5 linked regions of the Macaca mulatta genome follow. The protein of the gene in region 1 purifies or fractionates together with the protein of each later gene. This does not show direct contact. Links are inferred from orthologs where the notes say so. Each region holds a gene or a part of one and is shown in the gene's direction. Other genes may lie near its edges.

Region 1 (4,040 bases):
GGGATCACAGGCGTGAGCCACCGGCACCCAGCCTGAGCCACCGCGCCCGGCCCAGAAATTCTATTTCCGTCTTTTTAATGCTCCATTCAGCTTCCTGGTGCGAACCACATTGCTAGGAAAAGCTAGACTGTATCCGAAGACTAGTTAGTGTTCGGAGAAACCGCCGGGAACTTTGTTTCCCGAATTCTTTGCAGAGTTGCGGTTAGAGAGGGGACATTTTTTCTTTCTTGATCTATGGTCACCTGGAACTTAAAGGTGCTTGGCTCCATTTTCCAGCAGTCCTTGATCGACCTCGCCTCTTTCTTTAAGAAGAACCTGGGGGCGAGGAAGGAGGGGCTGAAACACTTTTAAGTCTCTCCAGGGAACTACTGCAGTCTCTAACCTTTCGCTCCACGCCCCCGATGGTGGCCATTGGACTCCGCTTCCCGACAAGCCTCCGCAAACTGGCCTCACAAAGGGTCAGGTCTGGACTATTCCCCAGCAGGCTTGGAGCTCATGGGCGATCCCGCCCCCTCAGTCAATGGGGAGGATGCCTTGAACTCCATTTCCCAGAACACACCAGGGCTCGCTGTGGCAACTGCACTGAAGCCTTGGTGTTGACTACACTTCCCGGCAGGGACTGCGGCCTAGCGTACCTGGGAAGAGAAGCGCGAAATTTACTCCATTTCCTCTCCCATCTCCGGAATTGCAGTATCCACTTGGGACTTAAGAAACCACCTGGGACTCCATTTCCCGGCGTGCTTTAAGAATCGCTTTACACCTGCAATGCGGTGAGGGCGTGGCGATGACTCCATTTCCCGGCTTGCTTCACGGCCCGAGATCCGCAGGTTCACGCGCGCCGACTCAATTTCCCAGAGCGCACCGGGCTCTGGGACGCACACACAGCCAATAAACTGAGTGAGTGGACTCTGTTTCCCAGCGTGCATCAGGCTCTCTGCTTCCCGAAATACTTCAGGGCTCCCCGTCGTACCGTCGGCAGACAGATTACCCTGGACTCCATTTCCCGACGTATAGCGCGACCCGTCATTCCCGCGGTCTACTCTGAGGCTTTTGTGGACTTCATTTCCCGGCGTGCCACGGGGCTCTCTGTGCGGGCCGAGGGCGGCGACGGCGGCGCGGACGACAGCCGGACTGCATCTCCCGGCGTGCCCCGCGGCGGGCGCTGGGCCGGAGCCGGAGCCCAAACCCGAGCGGCGCGGCCTGGAAGAGGCCAGAGCCCGGGGGAGGCGGCGGCAGCGGCGGCGGCTGGGGCAGCCCGGGGAGCCCGAGCCCCGCGGCCTGGGCCTGTGCTCGGCGCCATGAGCGGCGGCGGGCCTTCGGGAGGCGGCCCTGGGGGCTCGGGCAGGGCGCGGACCAGCTCGTTCGCGGAGCCAGGCGGCGGAGGCGGAGGCGGCGGCGGCGGCCCCGGAGGCTCGGCCTCCGGCCCAGGCGGCACCGGCGGCGGAAAGGCATCTGTCGGGGCCATGGGTGGGGGCGTCGGGGCCTCGAGCTCCGGGGGTGGACCCGGCGGCAGCGGCGGCGGAGGCAGCGGAGGCCCCGGCGCAGGCACTAGCTTCCCGCCGCCCGGGGTGAAGCTGGGCCGTGAGTACTAGCGGCGCCCGTGTAGGGTGGTGATCAGGGTTCCCAAAGCTCCTCAGACATCCATCAGGTTCTTTCATATGCTTAGGTAGGAGCCAGAGGTCACTATGCCTCCCCAAATCGGGGATCTGAGCCCTCTTCCTCCCAGGAAAAGGGGTCTTGGGGTTACCATCTCTTGGAGATCAGAATTACTCTTGGATCAGAATTACTAACACTCAAAGAAACAGGGGTTACAAGTCCCTGTTCTTTCATTATTGAGATCTTGGGTCCTTGAGCCTTAAGAACAGGTATCTGACGTTGCTACTCATTATAATATTGGATCAGAGGTCACAGTCGCTTGCAAATGGGGATTTAGGGTTATTGTCTCCTAAGAGAACAAGAATAAGACCAATCGCGAAAAAGAGGGATCTGCATTCGCTGTCCTTCAGAAGATGAGGATTTGGAGTGAATATCACTTAGAAGCAGGGCTTTGAGGTTACTGTGTTGTGTCCCCAAAGAATAAGGCCAGGCTTGCCAAACCTGGTACTCAGATCACCTTCCCTATTAAAACCAAGACCTGGCATCATTACCCACCCTAAATATTGTTGAGCTGTACCCCCAATGGTGAGAATTAATAGTTACTGCTTCTTAAAGACATTGGGAGTCAGCATATCCTTCAAATCAAGTCCATAGTCCATGTTTTAAAATACATGGCTTGGTGTGTCTCCTTTAACAAAAATGGAATGGAGCAGGGTAGGTCACAGTTTCCTATAAAATATGGATCTAAGGTTATACTTGTTCAATAATTGTTCTAAGGTATGGTGTCATTGGCTCTGAAAAAAATAGTGATGTAGGGTTATCTCCCTCTGAAAGAACATGTCACTGGCCCCTCAAAATGGATTTGGTGGCCGGGCGCGGTGGCTCACGCCTGTAATCCCAGCACTTTGGGAGGCTGAGGCAGGCGGATCACCTGAGGTTCTGTTTGAGACCAGCCTGGACAACTGGTGGAACCCTGTCTTTACTAAAAATACAAAAAATTAGCTGGGCGTGGTGGCGGGCGCCTGTAATCCCAGCTACTCGGGAGGCTGAGGCAGGAGAATCGCTTGAACCCAGCAGGCGGAGGTTGCAGTGAGGCGAGATCGTGCCACTGCACTCCAGCTGGGCAACGAGAGCGAAACTGTGTCTCAAAAAAAAGAAAAGAAAAAAAAAAAGAAAAAATGGATTTGGTTCATCAGTTACTCAAAGGGGTCACTATCCTTTAAGAATGGCACCAAGGTTTGCTACCATTTGAATAATGGGAATTGGAAATTATAGCTTTCCTTCAAAGGACTGAGGCTGGAATAGCCCCTTGATAATAAAGGTCAGGTTCATCATTCTCATAATTTGGTGCTTGTCCATTAGGGACCACCCACATACGGGGAGGAGTCTGGGTCTCTGGACCACTCAGATGAAGAGGTCAGGTCAGTGTTTTTTTCTAACCTCAAAGTACCAAAAAGTGAGGGTCAGGGCACTGGTACATACAGCAGGAGAGGACATTCATTTCTGTCACCAAGAACCAGTGAAGTTACCAGCTCTACAGGGGAGGACTTAGAGGTTAGTATCCTCTAGGCTGTGAGATAGGTTAGTGTTTTCCTGAAGTAGGAGTACCTGAGGGTTACTGCTCCCTTAAGTGGAAGAGGCCAGGTCAAGCTTTCTCCAAAGAGGAGGGGCCAGAGGGCAGTAGATCCAGAGTAGATGGAGTCAACATCTGATGTCTCCCAGTACCAAGACGACCAGTGATCTATTGCTTCCTAGAAGTAGAAATTTGGGGTTGCCAGCCCTTGAAGCAGAGAGATTTAGGTATCAATATCCTCCCATGTGGAGGGGGGGCAGGATTTAAGGTTCCCAGAAAGGAAGAGGGTTTGAAAAGTCACTGGGAAGGTTCCAGCATCCACCTTTCCTCAAAGAGGAGGAGGGAACAAAGAGGTCCCCAACGAGCTTCCTGCAGAGATTTCCCTTCCTCCTACAGCCCCAGGATGGGGTGATGCGCAGACAGGATGGGTCAGTGGATCGTGTATCCCCTTTGTTCCCCAGGTGACAGCGGGAAGGTGACCACAGTGGTAGCCACTCTAGGCCAAGGTCCAGAGCGCTCCCAAGAGGTGGCTTACACAGACATCAAAGTGATTGGCAATGGCTCATTTGGGGTCGTGTACCAGGCACGGCTGGCAGAGACCAGGGAACTGGTCGCCATCAAGAAGGTTCTCCAGGACAAGAGGTTCAAGGTAGCTTGGGCGGGATGGGGACAGGGAGGTTTGGGGACTTGGTGTGACTGGTGGGAGAACCCCAGCCAGAGAGCTGGAGGCTTAGGTTTCAGAGCCATGGACCAGAAGAGAAAGTGGGGAAAAGAGGAAATGAGACGTGGGGAAAAGAGGAAATGAGATGGGAAATGTGGATCCCAGGAGAGCCCAGAGCTTTTACTGGGCATTTGCTCAATGTAAGTGCTT
Region 2 (4,089 bases), on another chromosome or scaffold:
TTGTTTGTTTTTGTTTTTGTTTTTAATAGGGAGTCTTGCTTTGTCACCCAGCCTGCCGTGCAGTGGCGCCATCTTGGCTCACTGCAACCCCCCACCTCCTAGGTTCAAGTGATTATCCTGCCTCAGCCTCCCAAGTAGCTGGGATTACAGGCACGCGCCACCACACTCGGCTGATCTTTGTATTTTTAGTAGAGACGGGGTTTCACCATGTTGGCCGGGCTGGTCTCGAACTCCTGACCTCAGGTGATCCTCCAGCCTGGGCCTCCCAAAATGTTGGGATTACAGGCGTGAGCCACCATGCCCGGCCCTTTATGTTTTTTAAAAGGAAGAAAAGTTAATTATTCGCTCATAAGGGATCATTCTATAGCAGCAGATGAATAAATACATAATGCTCTGGGTTTGTGACATACTTTCTCATTTTAAGGGAGAAGGTTGTGTGTGCCTTATAAACGTTTTGGGGAAATGTGGGAGAAATTCAAAGGTGACAATGGGGTGAGGAGTTTTCGATACATTAAAACGGCATGCCTTGTCGTTTGGAGTGGGAAAAAAGATATTCCATATCGGTTTAATATGTAACATATGGCAGAAGAGGGGACTTCGGAAGAGTAACGGGTATGCAGTTGTTTGGCAGAGATGGCCAATGTGTGCCGCTTTTAGGGTCTTATGGCCAGCAGGTTAGGAAGCTGGACTTAGGTCTTCAGGGCACTGAGGTATGCCTCCTAACTGGTGTTAGCACTCAGGCCTATACTGGCGGATTCACACCCCACCTTCACACATGTACAAACGCAATTCATCCACCAACTGCAGTCCTATATTTACCCGAACTCAGATAGATGCACGTGCACAATCGCGCACAGGCATGCACACGCCTCCAGCGGCTGGCCCCGAGTCCGCCCTATGACAGCGGGCCAGCCAACCCCAGGGCCAGAACTCCCTTTATAAAGTCCTCCAAGCCCAAATTCCCAGGGAAACTTGAATAGAAGTAGAAAAGTGTTTGATGATAGAAAAAAAAAAATCTGCTTGCTTGCAGTTCTTGCGATGGCCATAATGCTACAAGAAACTGTTGCATTCCAGAGCGGGGGAGAGCGAGGGCAGGCAGGGGGTGGAGGCGGGAGCAAAGAGGCCGGAGAACTTGAAAGAAGAAATCAGAACTCGGGCTGAGAACGCCCTCCGGGCCGCGGGGGGCCGGCAGGGGGCGGAGGAGAAGCAGGGGAAGGGTTAACGCGGGAGCGGAGCGTGCGGCGGGGGCGGACCGGGGCGGGGCGGGGCGGGAGCGGGGCGCTGTCCCTTTAAGGCGGGCGGCGCGGGCCGGCCGAGCGCGGCTGTGATTGGCGCGGCGGGATCACTGGCTCCGCGAGCCCGGCCCGGGGGAGTCGGCTGGAGCCGGCTGCGCTTTGATAAGGTCCTGGCAACTCAGTAACAGCCCGAGAGCCGGGAAATAAAAATAACCCCTCAGAGAGATGGATTTCGGGGCCGCCCGGCGGCCGAGGCGCCCGCCGAAGGCCCTGCTGTAAAAGGTGGGGGTGGAGGCTCGGCCCCAGCTGAGCCGCTTCAAAGAAAGCCCCCCTCGGACAGGGGGCGAGGTCGCGCCGAGCCGCGGCGTGGGCGCTGGGGGCGGGAGGGGGCCCGGCCAGGCGGAGGCCGGCCCTAGAGGGGGTCGCGGGCGGGGCGGCCCTGAGGAGCAGCGGCGGGGCTGTGGGGGGCGGCCCGGGGCGCGGCCGGCGCGTACCTCCCTTTCAGGACCGTGCGCTCGGCTCGCGCCTTTGAAGTGCACAGTTAAATCCACAGCGCAGTTTTTGTTGGAAGCGCCCGGAGGACATTTGGTGCGCCGAGTGACTGCTGGAAACAGGACCTGCGTTGAAAGCCGGGCCGGGCGGGGGCCGCAGGGGCCGGGGACGGCCGCGGCGGGGGCGGAGGCCCGCTCGGATCTTTTGCATAAAAGGGGCGGCGGGGCGCGCCGCTCCCCCTCCCCGGCCGGTGGCTCTCGCTCTGATCCCGGGATTGTTGTTTCCCGCACCCCCTCCCCCGCCGCGCGACTCCCCATGTTCCCCGACGCCGCAGCCGGCCCGGGGGGGCCTGGGGCTGCCGCCGCGAGCCGAGCCGGGGGCCGGGGCCGGGCCCCTGCCAGGGGCGCCTGCGAGGTCTCGCCGCGGATCGCGCGCGGGGATCAATGGTGAGTGCCGAGGCCGAGGCAGCCGGGCGGCCCGCGCGCTTTGATGTGCGGGGCGGCCCTTTGAAGTTGGCAGGCCGGCTATTTTGGGGCGCGCTAGGGGCAGGCGCTGAGGGGAGCGGCGGACCCCAGCGCCCAGCCTTCCCGGGGGACTTGGCCGGGCAGCCCCGCGCGCCCTGCGCCGGAGCCCCCTCCCCAGCGCGGGGACCGGGTTGGCGGGGGGCCGGGAGAGGAGACTTCTCCGAGTGGCTGCAGTGGCGGGGGCGGAGAGCGGGCAGATACCCCCCGGGGGTCGCGTCGCTGTCGCGGTTATGGATGTGAGTCGGGGTGTGAGTGCGCGCGGGAGTGCCTTTGAGAGGTGGGATGAAAGGGTAGCGGCGCCCCCCGCTTGCCCTCCCCCCGCCCCCCGCCTCTTCTCCGCCCCATCCTCTCCTCCTACTTCTCTCCCCCTCCCCTTCTCCCCTCCCTGCTGCGGGTCCGCGCTAAGGGGCCCACAGAGCTGGCGGAGGCTCAGTCTGCGCGCAGGACCGGCCCAAGTCCGGGGCGCCCGCGTCCCTCGCGTCCCTTCTCCCCGCCCGGGCCCCGCGCCCGTGGCCGCCCCGGCCCCTTTTGCGGAGAGGCAAGGACTCCGCGCGTCGCCATTTCTGTACTAGGCTGCTGCTTTCTGTGCTTTTTCTGCGGGCGCCTCTGCGAGCGGCGGCGCTGGGGACCGACCCCCCGCCCGGGCACGGGACGCTGCTGGCGCGTCCCGGGGCTCCGGCCTCGAGGTGTGCCCGCCGGGGCTCTGGAGGCGTTCGGTTGCATTCGGGCCGGGGGACCGGGCCGGAGGGGCTCGGAGGACATGAGAGCCCGGCCTCGGCGGCCTTCGTCTTCCAGGTAACGGGGCCGCCCCACCTCCCTGCCGCCCGGGTAGCGCGGTGCTAACGGCAGCCCCACTACTCCGTGGGCCACGCCGCCCAGCCCCGCGGCTCGAAGCTTCGGTCGGGGTCAGCGTGCACCCATCCCAGACCCGGGGTCCCTGGCTCCTTGCCCGGGGTTGCACCCCGTCCCCCGGTCCGCCCCTACCCTTCCTAGTTTGATCCTTTCCGTGCTAGGAAAAGCAGCTTGTTTATTGGTTAGATAAGACTTTTTTCTTTTGGAAAAAAGACAGGCTTGAAATCAGTAGAGTTTGGGATTCTTGACACAGGCAGTAGTGGCGTGAGATGGCTGGTGATCCAGTTTTGTAGGTTTCGCGGCTCGCGGAGGTGGGTTGGGGGCACGGGGGCGACGGTTCCGAGTCCGAGGCTTCTCAGCTCTCTCTCAAAGTTTGAAGATCAAAGTTTCCACTGAGTGAGTTGGTTTCTGGTTTGGGGGAGGTCAGGGAAGACAGAGGTGTTGACTGAGCTGGATTCTTGGCGGGGGTAGGGGGCGCGCAGCGAACACTCACATCTGAGTTGGGGAGGGGGCGTTTGCGTGCTGAATCTGGGAGTCCGGGAGCCCAATCCGCCTATGCTGGGCGGGCTTCTCTCGGACGAGGATCTTCTGAATTTTTAAGGAGTGGGAAGAGGGAGCGCAGAGGGAGGGGGCGGGTGGGGAGAATGGGAACCAGATGCCGGGGAAGGGCACGTTTGGAGCTCGAGTTATCTGTGCAGAGCCGAGTGGGGAAAATTTACCGAAATTGGTTTCACCTGCACACAGCCTAGCGGCTGGGAGTGCGCCTTTTTGGAGTTGATGGTATCGGGGGAGGGGAAAGTAGGGGAAGCGAGGCGCGGGCTGAGCTGCCCTGCGTGCGCCCTGGCCGAGTGGGTTTTTGGAAGGTTGTGTCTTACACCTCCGATGTCCCCCTGCCGCCCCCAGCACTTGCCCTCCTCTCACCTTCCCCGCCTCTCCCAACAGCTCCCTCCCACCCCCAACCCCGAAAAGTGTGCAGGGAGCTCAGA
Region 3 (3,980 bases), on another chromosome or scaffold:
CACGATGACAAACAAGGCAAACATGGTGTGCAAGTGGCCAACCCAAAACCAATAACTAGGGATTCTGACATCCAGAGGTCCTCTTCATCCTTAATCGTTCCAGAATGTCATCGCACAAGGCAGGGTTTGTTTGCCACAAAACCCTGCGGCCCCTCACATCCCAAGGGACAATTCTGGTCACCTCCTCCCACGGACCTATTGAGCCTGCTTCACAGACCCCCCGAAGCACTGACTCAATTATTCCCATAGTGTAGATTCCATTACATCTGTTAAGTTTCCGGAACACGTGATTCAGGAGAGCAAACTTGTTAAACAGATTAAACAACACTCTAACACATTTATCTGAGCCGTGCCACACTCGGGTCCAAACAATTCCCAAGGAGGGAATGACTGTCACCAATCTTGGATGGCACCGGTTCAAAGCGCCCTAAAGAGGGGAGCGAGCCCCGCCCGGCTGGCTGCCCGGCAGCTCTTACCCATTTGTCCAAGGGGACCTGGGCGAGGGACCCGGTGCCTTGGTACAAGTCCAGGCTGAGCTGCTCCAGGCTCAGCTTCTCCTGCAGAAAGTGGCCCAGGTACCTCTGCAGGAGGTACCGGCAGGCCCGCTTCTTGATAGACTCCGAAAACGGCCAAGGCATGGTGACTGCTGGCAGCTGGGCTGACTGCGGCTGCGGGTGGCGCTGGCTCCGGCCTCAGGGTAGCGACTCCGGCTCCAGGCCGCGGCGGGGCCTAAGCCTGGGGCGGCCCCTTCATCGCTGTTTGGCGCCGGGAGTTCCTCAGGGAGACCCCATCGCCGGCGCCGCGCCGCTCGCGCTGGGCCTGGCGGAGGCAAGACGCAGTGGGGTCCTCCTGGCCCCAGGCCAGGGGACTTCCGAGGGAGATCCCAACCGGCTCAGAGAAAGTGCAAGAGAGCGCGAGGGGAGGCGGCACAGGCTGAGGCAGACACCTCCACTGCCGCCGCGCGACGAATTTGTTGTCATCCGCGAGGCGCGTTCCCGGCTGTAGGGACGCTTCCGGCGCGTTCGCGAGACCCAGACTCCCGGCGCGCCGTCGGGCGCTGGCGGAAGTGACACCACACAGGGGGCCGCGGAAGGCGGGCAGAAGGGCGGGAGCTGGAGCAGTTCCGGCTCCGAGGGGGCGGGGCGGGCGAGGGCGGGGAGGGAGGGGGCGGCACCGCCGGTCGGCTCCAGTCGCCTCCGGAGGGAAGAAGCAGAGGACGCCGGGTGCGCAGGTAAGCAGCCGCCGGGCGGGCTGCGGGCGAGGGGCGGCCTCTGACAAGGGCTAGGGGCTCGGGGCGCCGGCGGGCCGTGGGGCCTTCCGGACGGGGACGCGACGCCGCGCAGCGGGCTGGGCCGAGAGGGGCGGCAGGCTGCAGGGGCCCCGCGCCGGTGTTAAGAGGGGTCTGGGGGCTTGTTAAGACCGACCTGGCTCTCCCGGCCCCCCCTCAGACCTCGGCGCCCCAGAAACGCACGCTTGGGGCTCCGCCGTCTCCGCGGGGAGGACTGGAGCCCTTCTTGAACATCCCCGCCCGCCCCCAAGCATTGACCGGTGCCCATTGTCAGCAAGTTCTTCAGCCCCCGCCTCGTTCAGGTATTGTTTCCGAGGCTTCCTCTTCGTTGCCGTTCGCCTGGCGGTTTGCAGAGCGCTTCTCGCATACGCTCGCTTAATCCTGGGTGTGTCATACCAACGATCAGGAAACTTGGGTTTTCGAAGCATCTGTGGGCAAAACTGCATTCCTTGAGAAATGTTGAAGGCTCCTGATCCCGCGGGAACCTGGGTGAAGAACTTGGGCTGTTCTGGTCGTCTGCGCAATCGTATTTCTGCCTTTTGGGAGGCAACTCCTGCAGAGGCGGAGCCGGCTCTTAAGTTAGTCAACCTCGAAAGGCCTGGGTGCCGGTGTTCGATGGCCCAGAAGCCAAATGTCCTGGGTTAGAATCCTGGCACTGACACCTATTAGCCCAGCCACTTTGAGCCGGCCACTGCCCTCCCCGAGTCCACGTTGCCTCCTTTGCCCAGTGTCAGTGGATTAAAATCTTATGTGCATGGATTTATTAGGAAGATTAAATGATATGAGTAGGGCACGAACCTGAACAGAGTCCTGAAACATACAGCTGTTTAATCCCAGTGAATTAAGACGAGCAGTTTAAGGAGTGAAATATTTACTGTCTCAGCAACTTTCATGAATGCCTTGGAAATACTGCCCAAAATGTTGATAGATGGAGAAACATCTGATTCCGCTTTCCACAACCACCTTTTCGTTTTAGAATCAGGGTGCTCTGTATGCAGTTGCTTGGATTGTTGATTCCCCTAATTCCTTGTAGACTTACCCCAAGTATTCTCAGTAACTTAGATTCCCTTGCTCTTCACTCAAAAATTTTGTTAAGGTCTGTTAAATGAACGTCACCACAGTTGATGATGTGAACAGTATCAAGAATCAGGCAGAACCTTCAAGGAGTTTATGTTCTAAAGTGGAAGGTCATTGGGCATGGTGGTGCCTGCTTGTGGTCCCAGCTACTCTGGAGGCTGAGGCGGAAGAATCGCTTGAGCCAAGGAGTTTGAGGCTGCAGAATTGCATTCAGGCTATCCATAGACTGCCTGCAATTTCAAATATCAGAAAGGATCTTACGAGCTACGATTATGCCACTGCACTCCAGCCTGAACCACAGAGCAAGACCCTGTCTCTTTAAAAAATAATAATAAAGTGGAAGTTTGTTCATTTATTCAGTAAATGTTTATTGATTGCATTCTGTGTGCCAAGCACTGTTCTAGGTGCTGGGGATACAGCAGTGAACAGATAAGTCTCTTCCTTCCCGGAACTTACGTTTTATTGAAGGGAGGAGAAACATGCAATCAATGAGTGAATAATATGCTTTGTGGTGATAAGGGCTGTTGGAAAAACAAAAGCATTGTAAAGGGGATGGAGATGGGGAAGAGAGAAGGGACTTGCCATTTTTATATGAGATGGTAAGAGACATTCTCTTATTTAATAAGATTACATTTTAGCAGAAACTTGGAGAAAGCTGGGAAGTGAGGCACACGTATACCTGGAAGAGTTGTTTTCCACGCAAGGGGAACAGCAAGTGCAACGTGCTGTCACAGGAGAATGCTTGATGAGTTTAGGGAACATCAGGAGTGAGTGAAGGAAAAAGTAGAAGCTGGGCAGTTGGGGGCTGGGGGCGCAGAGGAAGCACATCATGTAGGGCCTCCTGGGCCTTTGATAAGAACTTTGGAGCCGGGCACTGTGGCTCACTCCTATAATCCCAGCACTTTGGGAGTCCAAGGCGGGCAGATCACTTGAGGTCAGGGGTTCAAGACTAGCCTGGCCAACATGGTGAGACCCTGTCTCTACCAAAAATATATTAAAAAGTAGTCAGGTGTGGTGGCATGCACCTGTAATCCCAGCTACTTGGGAGGCTGAGGCAGGAGAATCGCTTGAACCCAGGAGGCGGAGGTTGCAGTGAGCGGAGATTATGCCACTTCACTCCAGCCCTCCAGCCTGAGCAACAGAGTGAGACTCTGTCTTTAAAAAAAAAAAAAAAAAAAAAAAGAACTTTGGCCTTTACTCTGGGTGAGGTGGATTTAGGAGAGAAGTGACGTAATATGGCCTCAGTTTCTATGGGATCATGCTAACTGCTATGTTAAGAATAGTCTGGTGTGGAAGTGGGAGGACCAGAGTGAAAACAACAAAACCAGTTAGAAGGATATCGTAGTAGTAATCCAAGGAAAAGATGACAGTGGTTTGGACCAAAATGGTAGCAGTGAAGATGATTAGTTAGAAGCTGTTGGATTCTGGATATATTTTGAAGATAAAACATGTTTGCAAATAATAATTCTAATATTTGCCATAAAAGGAATATAAGCAAGGTGGTGTGAAAAGTCAAAGGTGGGATCTTATCCGGCAATAAATTAGAATAGGCTTTGGAAGGTTTGAAATAGACTTCTGACAAATAGATACGATTTGAACTTCTTTCAGCAGCTAT
Region 4 (4,202 bases), on another chromosome or scaffold:
CATGTTACTGCATGCAGCAATATTCAGTCCTCTTTGTTGCTGAACTGTTTTCTGTCATCATCCTGTGTGAATGTACAATAGGTTGTTTGTCTATTCACCTGTTGATGAACACTTGGGCCATTTCACTTTTGGCTTTTATGAATAAAACTCCTTTGATGTGAGCCAACATCGTGCCACTGCACTCCAGCCTGGGTGAAAGAAGGAGATCTGTCTCAATTAAAAAAAAAAAAAAAAAAAAAAAAAAAAAAGGCAGGGTGCAGTGGCTCACGCCTGTAATCCCAGCACTTTGGGAGGCCGAGGCAGGTGGATCACCTGAGGTCGGGAGTTTGGGACCAGCCTGACCAACATGGAGAAACCTCATTTCTACTAAAAATACAAAATTAGCCGGGCATGGTGATACATGCCGGTAATCCAGCTACTCAGGAGGCTGAGGCAGGAGACTTGCTTGAACCCAGGAGGTGGAGGTTGTGGCAACAAGAGCGAAACTCTGTCTCAAAAAAAAAAAAAAAACGACTAGCAACTAGCAACCTAGGCCGGGCACAGTGGCTCACGTCTGTAATCCCAGCACTTTGGGAGGCTGAGGCAGGTGGATCACCTGAGGTCAGGAGTTCGAGACCAGCCTGGCCAACATGGTGAAACCCCGTCTCTACTAAAAATACAAAAATTAGCCGGCGTGGTGGTGGGCGCCTGTAATTCCAGCTACTCGGGAGGCTGAGGCAGGAGATTTGCTTGAACCCAGGAGGCGGAGGTTGTAGTGAGTGGAGATGAAACCACTGCACTCCAGCCTGGGCGACAGAGCGAGACTCCCTCTCAAAAACAAACAAACAAAAAAGACTAGCAACCTCCTCCTCTCCAGCAATGCCAACCCCATCCAGGCCCCCATCCGCCCAGGATCTCGATCAAGAAACATTAATCCGTGGCCTTTCTTTGCCATTTCCAACTCTGCCACCTCCATCGCACGACAAGGTCCCCTTCTTCCTTCCCATTCCCGTCAGTTTCCCTAATCTCCGTACAAATCCCTAGCCTGACTCCCTTTCCTTTCCATCCTCACCAGACACCCGCATGCCGGACCTCAAAAGCGCAAACGCTAAAACCCGGTTGAGTTGACGCACGGAGAGAAGGGGTGTGTGGGTCGGTGTGTGTGTGTTACTGTGTGTGTGTGCTTGTGTGTGGAAGAAACCAACAAGGTCCACGCTGGTGTCCATTTCTGGAAATGCCAACCGCGCCCGACTGCGGGAGCCAGGATCAGGTCCCCAGGGCGCCCTTGCAGACAGCACCCTGAGCGAAGGAGCTCAGAAGGCAGTCCGGCTTCACCCAGACCCCCAGTCCCGCAGAAGCCCCGTCCCCCAGCGGCACAGCACCCCCTCCCCGGCGCGGTGGTAGGGCCCAGCGCGACGTCACCCATTGTTTACAAATCAAGCCGAGCCGGCAGGATTCCGGCTCCCGCGGCTGCAGGCGCGCGGCTGGAGTGACTGGCGGGCTCCGGCTTCCGCGTCCGCCACGGCCCCTGCCCCGGCCCCGGCCACGGCCCCGGCATCGTCTTCAGCTCCGCGCCCGCTCCGCCGCGGCCCACCGCACCCGCCGGCAGTCGAGCCCCCAGCGACGCCCGCACAGCTCCGGGTGCCCGGACAGGGGGCCATGCCTTGCCGGAGGGAGGAGGAAGAGGAAGCTGGCGAGGAGGCGGAGGGGGAGGAAGAGGAGGAGGACAGCTTCCTCCTGCTGCAGCAGTCGGTGGCGCTGGGCAGCTCGGGCGAGGTGGACCGGCTGGTGGCCCAGATCGGCGAGACGCTGCAGCTGGACGCGGCGCAGGACAGCCCGGCCTCGCCGTGCGCACCCCCGGGGGCGCCGCTGCGGGCCCCGGGACCCCTGGCTGCGGCGGTGCCGGCGGACAAGGCCAGGCCCCCTGCGGTGCCGCTGCTGCTGCCTCCCGCGTCGGCTGAGACTGTGGGCCCGGCGCCCCCTGGGGTCCTGCGCTGCGCCCTGGGGGACCGCGGCCGCGTGCGGGGCCGCGCTGCGCCCTACTGCGTGGCGGAGCTCGCCACAGGCCCCAGCGCGCTGTGCCCACTGCCCCCTCAGGCCGACTTCGATGGGCCTCCGGGTGCTGGCAAGCAGGGCGTCCCGCAGCCGCTGTCGGGTCCGTGCCGGCGAGGATGGCTCCGGGGCGCCGCCGCCTCCCGCCGCCTGCAGCAGCGACGCGGGTCCCAACCAGAAACCCGCACAGGCGACGACGACCCGCACCGGCTCCTGCAGCAGCTAGTGCTCTCTGGAAACCTCATCAAGGAGGCCGTGCGAAGGCTTCATTCGCGACGGCTGCAGTTACGTGCAAAGCTTCCCCAACGCCCGCTCCTGGGACCTCTGTCGGCCCCGGTGCATGAACCCCCTTCACCTCGCAGCCCTCGCGCGGCCTGCAGTGACCCTGGCGCCTCCGGGAGGGCGCAGCTCAGAACTGGCGACGGCGTTCTTATCCCTGGCAGCTAACACGCCCGGGGTGCCCACAGCGCCAGCCTCAGACTAGAGGGCAAGGGGTTCCCCTGAGGGCTGCAATTCTGCTCAGGCTGGTGGAGAACTCTGGCTTTTGGAAGTGGGAGAAAAAAGCTAAAGACGAGGAACAGAAAAATCGCGAATGTTTCGCGGGTAACTGGGGTTGAGGGCCAAAATATTTGAAATGCAGAACTCGGCCCTATTTAAGGCGGATTTTACAGAGCGCACCCCAAGCTTACAAGTTAGTAGGATTCCTTATTTGGAGTGACCCGACCCAGCCGCGAAGCGTGCAGTTCCGCGCAGCCTCTCAGTGCCCTCCAGCCCCGCGACCATGTGGCCACAATCCACGCTTCTCCGGATCGCGGCGCGCCGGAACTACTGAGGATGATGCCAGTTACTTGCTTTACCTTTTCAGGGCTGGCTCCTGATCCACTTTGGGGGAGGGGAACATGAGTAGATAATTTCAGGGTGCACCCCAATCTGCCAGACTTGAATATTTTCAACACTTAAAAAAACCATCTTGTGTCTTTGGAGGTGCTGCTTAATATCAAACACGCGGTGCCATGAAGGGACCCTTTGAGGGTTGAATAGGAGTTAACCCCTGCGCTCTCTTTGCAACTGTCTGCCTTTCTCAGAGTGGTGGGGGAAAGGCTGTACGACACGGGTGGGGACAGGAGATGGGGGCGGGGGGTATTGAATGGTGATGGAAGGGTAGAGAGGCGCGGAGTGAACCCCACGCGCTCTCTAAAGTGTATTTTCACAGCCGGCCTGCCTCTCCTCGGGTTCAAGGTCACTGTTTCCTGGGCACGCACTGGGTTGCGGGACGGAGTAGCCGGATTCTGCCCGTGCTCGGAGAAGAGCGCAGTGTTTTTTGCAAGTGCTGGAGTCTCCTGAGGACACGCGCGCCGCCGCCACCGCGGGTGTGGGAAAGCGCGGACGTGCTGGGCGTCTGCTTCCCTAGGCGACCACCGCCCCTGGCCGCGCTCCGGGCTTTCACGGAAACTCCCGAGACGGAGCCCCGGGTTCCTCCTCTCCCACTTGGCTCTGCTGTCCTACTCAAGCGGGTGGCTCTGGGATCCTGGGGGCCTGGGTTGGGGGCTAGGGAGACGCCATGTGATGGGCACTCCAGGGACACACAGCCTAGCACAGCAGCTTATAATGGGCTCTCTGGGGCCATTTGCAATAACAGCTGCAATTCCCTGGATAGCGGAGTTGATTTCCTCCCTCTGCCCCTCCCCCAGCCATGCCAGCTGGCCTTTGTAAGTGCAGGAAACCGAGTAGAAAATGTGACCCTCCAAATGGAGAAGCTGCAGGCTTTGCCATTGTGAACCATGGTGAAGTGCTTGGAACATACTGTTCACTCACTCTAAAGGCGCTGAGACTGTGCTGTTGTTCTCGTTTTTATAGTCAATGGCTTGTTCATCATCCAGATGTGGCTACTGACATATCTACACTTCGCACCGGAGTGTCTGGAATTGTGGCTATCCTGATTATAGGATTTTAACTTAACTGAAATGCCTGCTTTGAATAAATGTGTTGGGTTTTTTGTTTGGTTTTATTTTATACTTGCCATCGGTGAAAAAGATGTACAGAACACATTTCTCTGATCTCCATAAACATGAAAACACTTGAAATCCCTGTCAGCCTGGCTTGCGGATGGTAATTAGAGCGCCTTTGTGTCTGAGCAGCTCACTAGCTAGACAAGGTCTCCGCAGCTGGGT
Region 5 (4,050 bases), on another chromosome or scaffold:
CCCAGGCTCTGGGCGCGATGGCTGACGCCTGTAATCCCAGCACTTTGGGAAGCTGAGGCGGGCAAATCACGAGGTCAAGAGATTAAGACCAACCTGGCCAACATAGTGAAACCCCATCTCTACTAAAAATACAAAAATTAGCAGGGCGTGGTGGCACGCACCTGTAGCCCCAGCTACTCGGGAGGCTGAGGCAGGAGAATCACTTGAACCCGGGAGGCAGAGGTTGCAGTGAGCCAACATCCTGCCACTGCACTCCAGCCTGATGACAGAGCAAGACTCCGTCTGAAGAAGAAGAGGAAGAAGAAAAAACTGGCAGAGCAGGCAGGCGATCCAACACCCCTGTGCTCTGGATCGTGGTTCCACCACAGGCCTCTCATCAGTCACCTCCTCTCGATTTACAGCTGGGGAAGCAGGAAAAGCTGGTGTGAGGCTGATGGTAGGAAATAAAGCGATAGATAAATAAATGAGGGAATTTTTGATGATGAGTGTCCATTTATTTACAGTACTTGCACTACCCTGCGGCTGCAAAGTGGCAGTTAAGGGAGGCTGGAACCTAACTCTACATTCTGAAGGGTTCCCTAAAACTCTATGTACAGGGCCGCCACAGGATGAAACTTCAAGCAACTCTAAAGGCTGAAAGAGCAGTTGGAACAATTAGGGTGGCAGAGAGCAAAAAGTCAAGGTTACAACCGTCCAAGAAAGGAAGGAGAAGATATTTGCGGAGGCTGTAGGAAAAAAACAGGCTACAGAGTTGCAAAGGGAGAAGCAGCAGGAGTTGGCAGGAGACTGTAGGTGTTAGGTAAACAAGAGGGGTCAAAGATTATTCTAATGTTCTCCTAACATGAACAACCACAAAACTGGTTGAGATTGAATCAGTTTGGTAAAAGGCAGAATTTCGGGAAAGAAGATCTGTTTTGCCAAGTGTCATTTAAAATGTCAACCGGATGCTCGGTGTGATATATGGAAAGATGTTATACTTAGCCTGATCTGAGAGGGAAAGTTCAGATGCCACAATAATGGGTTACTGTGACACATACACATTTGTTTACCAAACAACGGATCCCTCAGAAAACGCTCCTTCCCTCGGTAGCTAGGGACATTGCGGAGCCGCAGGACTACGTTTCCCACGTCGCCCCACGCCACACCCACTTGGCCTCTCCGGAAAGACGTCCCAGGAGCCTCTGGGCGTAGAGCCCCGCCTCCGCCGCTGGGGGAGGGGCGACGCCAAGCTCGGGAGCACCCGGTTACGCACTTCCTCCCGGGGTCGGAGGCCGATTAGCCGTGTGGCGGGTTCGAGTCCCGCCTCCTGACTCTGGCCTCTAGCCCCTGAGTCCCGGGCGGGGTGCATTCGCCGGGGAAACCTCTCCTCGACCACGGGCACCTCTCCTCGACCAGGGGCGACGGCGTACTTTGGGCTTCATCATGGAGGACTACCTTCAGGATTGTCGAGCTGCTCTACAGGTAACCGATCCCTGTATGTGACTGTAAGGAATGGAGCACGGGGTCCAGGAAGGACGAAGACGTGGGATCTGGGGAGCCTCGACGGTCCGTGTGGAGGGAACACTGAGTTGTGGGGAGGGGGGTTGGGGCCTGATCAGGTTTGGGGCATGAGGAGCGAGGAGCGAGAAGCCAGCTTAGGAGCGTGAGAATGCTGCTTGCTTAGTCTCCCGGTTTTTGGCTCCCCGCCTTTGGGGTCCGCCCGAGAGCTGGGAGAAGTCTTGGGTCTGAATCCTGCATTTGAGCCTCTGCTTGCTGTCATCTCGGTCAGTTCCGTCAAAAGGACCAGGACTGTGCGACCGCCAGCCGAGCCCCGCGAGGTGTGTTTATTCTTTTCTCCCCGCCCCTCTTTGAGTTCTCCGCTTCCAAGGCCTCGCTTGGCCCACTGGCCTCCAGGTGAACCTCGCGGGTGTGGAGGGAACCGGTGCTCACGGCTTTATTTCCTCTGAATGGCGGTTTCTGTCTGGCGGGCTGAACTCATTTCTAAGTTAGAAGTAGTCACGGTATTTTACTTTAAGTCAGTGTTTTTAAACCAAGCATACATAATCCATCAGGCATATTTGTTGACCCACAACCAGCATTCCTTTGCCTCCAGGTTTCTCCTTTGGCCTTAACGCACACACATTACATAAAAATTCTCCACTTGGAAGGGATAAGCACAAAGTGTGTTTAGAATCAAAACCATAAATATGACTACTGAATGCTTTGTGGCTTATTTTTGGTGCTCTCTGAGCCAGTTGGACTCACCCAGCCATGCTGAGCCGTCATGAGGCATTAGGCTGTTATCCCCAGTTAGCAGCAAAAAGCTAACCAGAGACAGACTCCAGGAGGTCACCCGGCCCCTCTACTTTGAGTTATATTGCCCTGAAGAAACCTAGACAGATGGCTTGCTGAGCTTTCCTTTTTAGATATCGGAAACTCAACAAATTCCCCTGGGGGACAGATTCTGTTCTTTAACAAATCCTGAAAGTCACTTAATTCCTGCTGCAGACTCAGCTGCTGGAATAAATGAATTGTCTTCATATTGAATTGGGGAGAAGGTCCATTTTAACACCAATTACATAGACATTTTCCTTGTGAAAAACAAATTTGGGGAGTTATTTCAATGCATAAGGCCATTTGGAACCAATCCCTTTTTGTTACGTCTGATTCCACCACAGGACTAATGTAGAGTTTTGGGGGCACCATTCTAAGTGCTAAACAGTTGGATTCCCCCCCCCCAGTAACCCAAATGACTGGTCTCTTCCACCAAGTGGTAAAGTGCCCTTGGACCTGAAACCTCACTAAATAGTATTTCTTTGCATGCATCTATTCTCCAACATATATCCTCCAGAGCCTCCCCCCACCCCCAGGTTAGCAGTATATTCTCTATTTTTATTTTGTATTTGTTTATTTATTTTGAGCCAGGGTCTCACTCTGTTGCCCTGGCTGGAGTGCAATGGTGTGATCACCTCCCCGGCTCAAGTGATCCTCCCCCCGGCTCAAGTGATCCTCCCACCTCAGCCTCCCGAAAAAGCTGCGACTATAGGCAGTGCCACCATGCAGGGCTAATTTTTTGTATTTTTGTAGAGACAGGGTCTCGCCATGCTGCCCAATCTGGTCTCGAACTCCTGGACTCAAACAATCCCTCTGGCTTGGCTTCCCAAAGTGCTGGAATTATAGGTGTAAGCCACTGTACCCAGCCCTAATAGTATATTCTCTACAGCAATATGAAGCTGGAAAAATACTTGATTTTTCCAATATTGCTGGAATCCTGACCTTTCTCTACCTGCATTCATCCCCCAAGGAGCAAGATCTAGCTCTTCTTTCAAACTTGTGAACTTGTGAAAGTTGAGATTGTGTCTTAGAGCTTTCATCATCACATAGCCTCTCCAGGGCCTGGAGAAATGAGAAAATTAGACTCTAGGAAGGTTAACAGGTGAACTGATGGCAAGACATACTGGTAGATGCCAACAATTTAGATTGCTTTAATTTTTTTTTTTTTTTTTTTTTTTGAGATGAACTCTCACTGTCGCCCAGGCTGGAGTACAGTGGTGCAATCTTGGCTCACTGCAACCTCCACTTCCTGAATTCAAGCGATTCTTCTGCCTCAGCCTCCTGAGTAGCTGGGATTACAAGCTTGCGCTACCATGCCTGGATAATTTTTGTATTTTTAGTAGAGACAGGGTTTCACCATGTTGGCCAGGCTGGTCTCGAACTCCTGACCTCAAGTGATCTGCCTGCCTTGGTCTCCCAAAGTGCTGGGATTACAGGCATGAGCCACCACATCCAGCCTAGATTGCTTTAAATTATAGAAGTAGTAAATGTGTACTTTATGAATAAATTTAAATACCAAAGGGATATGGAATGAAAAAGATAAAGATCATTTTTCTTCTCTCCTCTCCATCCAGTTCTCCAGAGGACACCCTGTTAAGTTTCTTGTGTAAAGAGAGAGAGATGATTTAGACAGATACATTCTTAAGTTTGAATGTTCCTGTTAAACTACAGTTTAATTATAACTTTCAGAAAATCATGAATGCTCTTCTTTGCACAGAATAAAGACAGCTGGTAATC

The links.
Region 2: the proteins of GSK3A (region 1) and AXIN2 purify together in Homo sapiens (affinity purification with mass spectrometry; 3 studies listed by BioGRID and IntAct, with this or other methods). This does not show direct contact. The link is inferred for Macaca mulatta from reciprocal best matches to the Homo sapiens genes GSK3A and AXIN2.
Region 3: the proteins of GSK3A (region 1) and GSKIP purify together in Homo sapiens (affinity purification with mass spectrometry; 7 studies listed by BioGRID and IntAct, with this or other methods). This does not show direct contact. The link is inferred for Macaca mulatta from reciprocal best matches to the Homo sapiens genes GSK3A and GSKIP.
Region 4: the proteins of GSK3A (region 1) and FRAT1 purify together in Homo sapiens (affinity purification with mass spectrometry; 4 studies listed by BioGRID and IntAct, with this or other methods). This does not show direct contact. The link is inferred for Macaca mulatta from reciprocal best matches to the Homo sapiens genes GSK3A and FRAT1.
Region 5: the proteins of GSK3A (region 1) and PRUNE1 purify together in Homo sapiens (affinity purification with mass spectrometry; 3 studies listed by BioGRID and IntAct, with this or other methods). This does not show direct contact. The link is inferred for Macaca mulatta from reciprocal best matches to the Homo sapiens genes GSK3A and PRUNE1.

What each region holds. Positions count from the first base shown.
Region 1 is NC_133424.1:53,295,304-53,299,343, reverse strand, and holds the start of GSK3A (glycogen synthase kinase-3 alpha), read left to right. Parts: upstream 1-1,240; 5' UTR 1,241-1,298; coding exon 1,299-1,581; intron 1,582-3,630; coding exon 3,631-3,818; intron 3,819-4,040. UniProt on the Homo sapiens protein: Constitutively active protein kinase that acts as a negative regulator in the hormonal control of glucose homeostasis, Wnt signaling and regulation of transcription factors and microtubules, by phosphorylating and inactivating glycogen synthase (GYS1 or GYS2), CTNNB1/beta-catenin, APC and AXIN1.
Region 2 is NC_133421.1:75,316,479-75,320,567, reverse strand, and holds the start of AXIN2 (axin-2), read left to right. Parts: upstream 1-1,289; 5' UTR 1,290-1,517; intron 1,518-2,033; exon of another isoform or gene 2,034-2,173; intron 2,174-2,214; exon of another isoform or gene 2,215-2,487; intron 2,488-2,634; exon of another isoform or gene 2,635-3,499; intron 3,500-4,089. UniProt on the Homo sapiens protein: Inhibitor of the Wnt signaling pathway. Down-regulates beta-catenin. Probably facilitate the phosphorylation of beta-catenin and APC by GSK3B.
Region 3 is NC_133412.1:169,670,436-169,674,415, forward strand, and holds the start of GSKIP (GSK3B-interacting protein), read left to right. Parts: upstream 1-1,180; 5' UTR 1,181-1,231; intron 1,232-3,980. Other genes in the region: ATG2B (autophagy-related protein 2 homolog B), read right to left, coding at 477-638. UniProt on the Homo sapiens protein: A-kinase anchoring protein for GSK3B and PKA that regulates or facilitates their kinase activity towards their targets.
Region 4 is NC_133414.1:109,362,608-109,366,809, forward strand, and holds FRAT1 (proto-oncogene FRAT1), read left to right. Parts: upstream 1-1,402; 5' UTR 1,403-1,638; coding exon 1,639-2,478; 3' UTR 2,479-4,028; downstream 4,029-4,202. UniProt on the Homo sapiens protein: Positively regulates the Wnt signaling pathway by stabilizing beta-catenin through the association with GSK-3. May play a role in tumor progression and collaborate with PIM1 and MYC in lymphomagenesis.
Region 5 is NC_133406.1:116,095,805-116,099,854, reverse strand, and holds the start of PRUNE1 (exopolyphosphatase PRUNE1), read left to right. Parts: upstream 1-1,250; 5' UTR 1,251-1,422; coding exon 1,423-1,461; intron 1,462-3,852; exon of another isoform or gene 3,853-4,050. UniProt on the Homo sapiens protein: Phosphodiesterase (PDE) that has higher activity toward cAMP than cGMP, as substrate. Plays a role in cell proliferation, migration and differentiation, and acts as a negative regulator of NME1. Plays a role in the regulation of neurogenesis.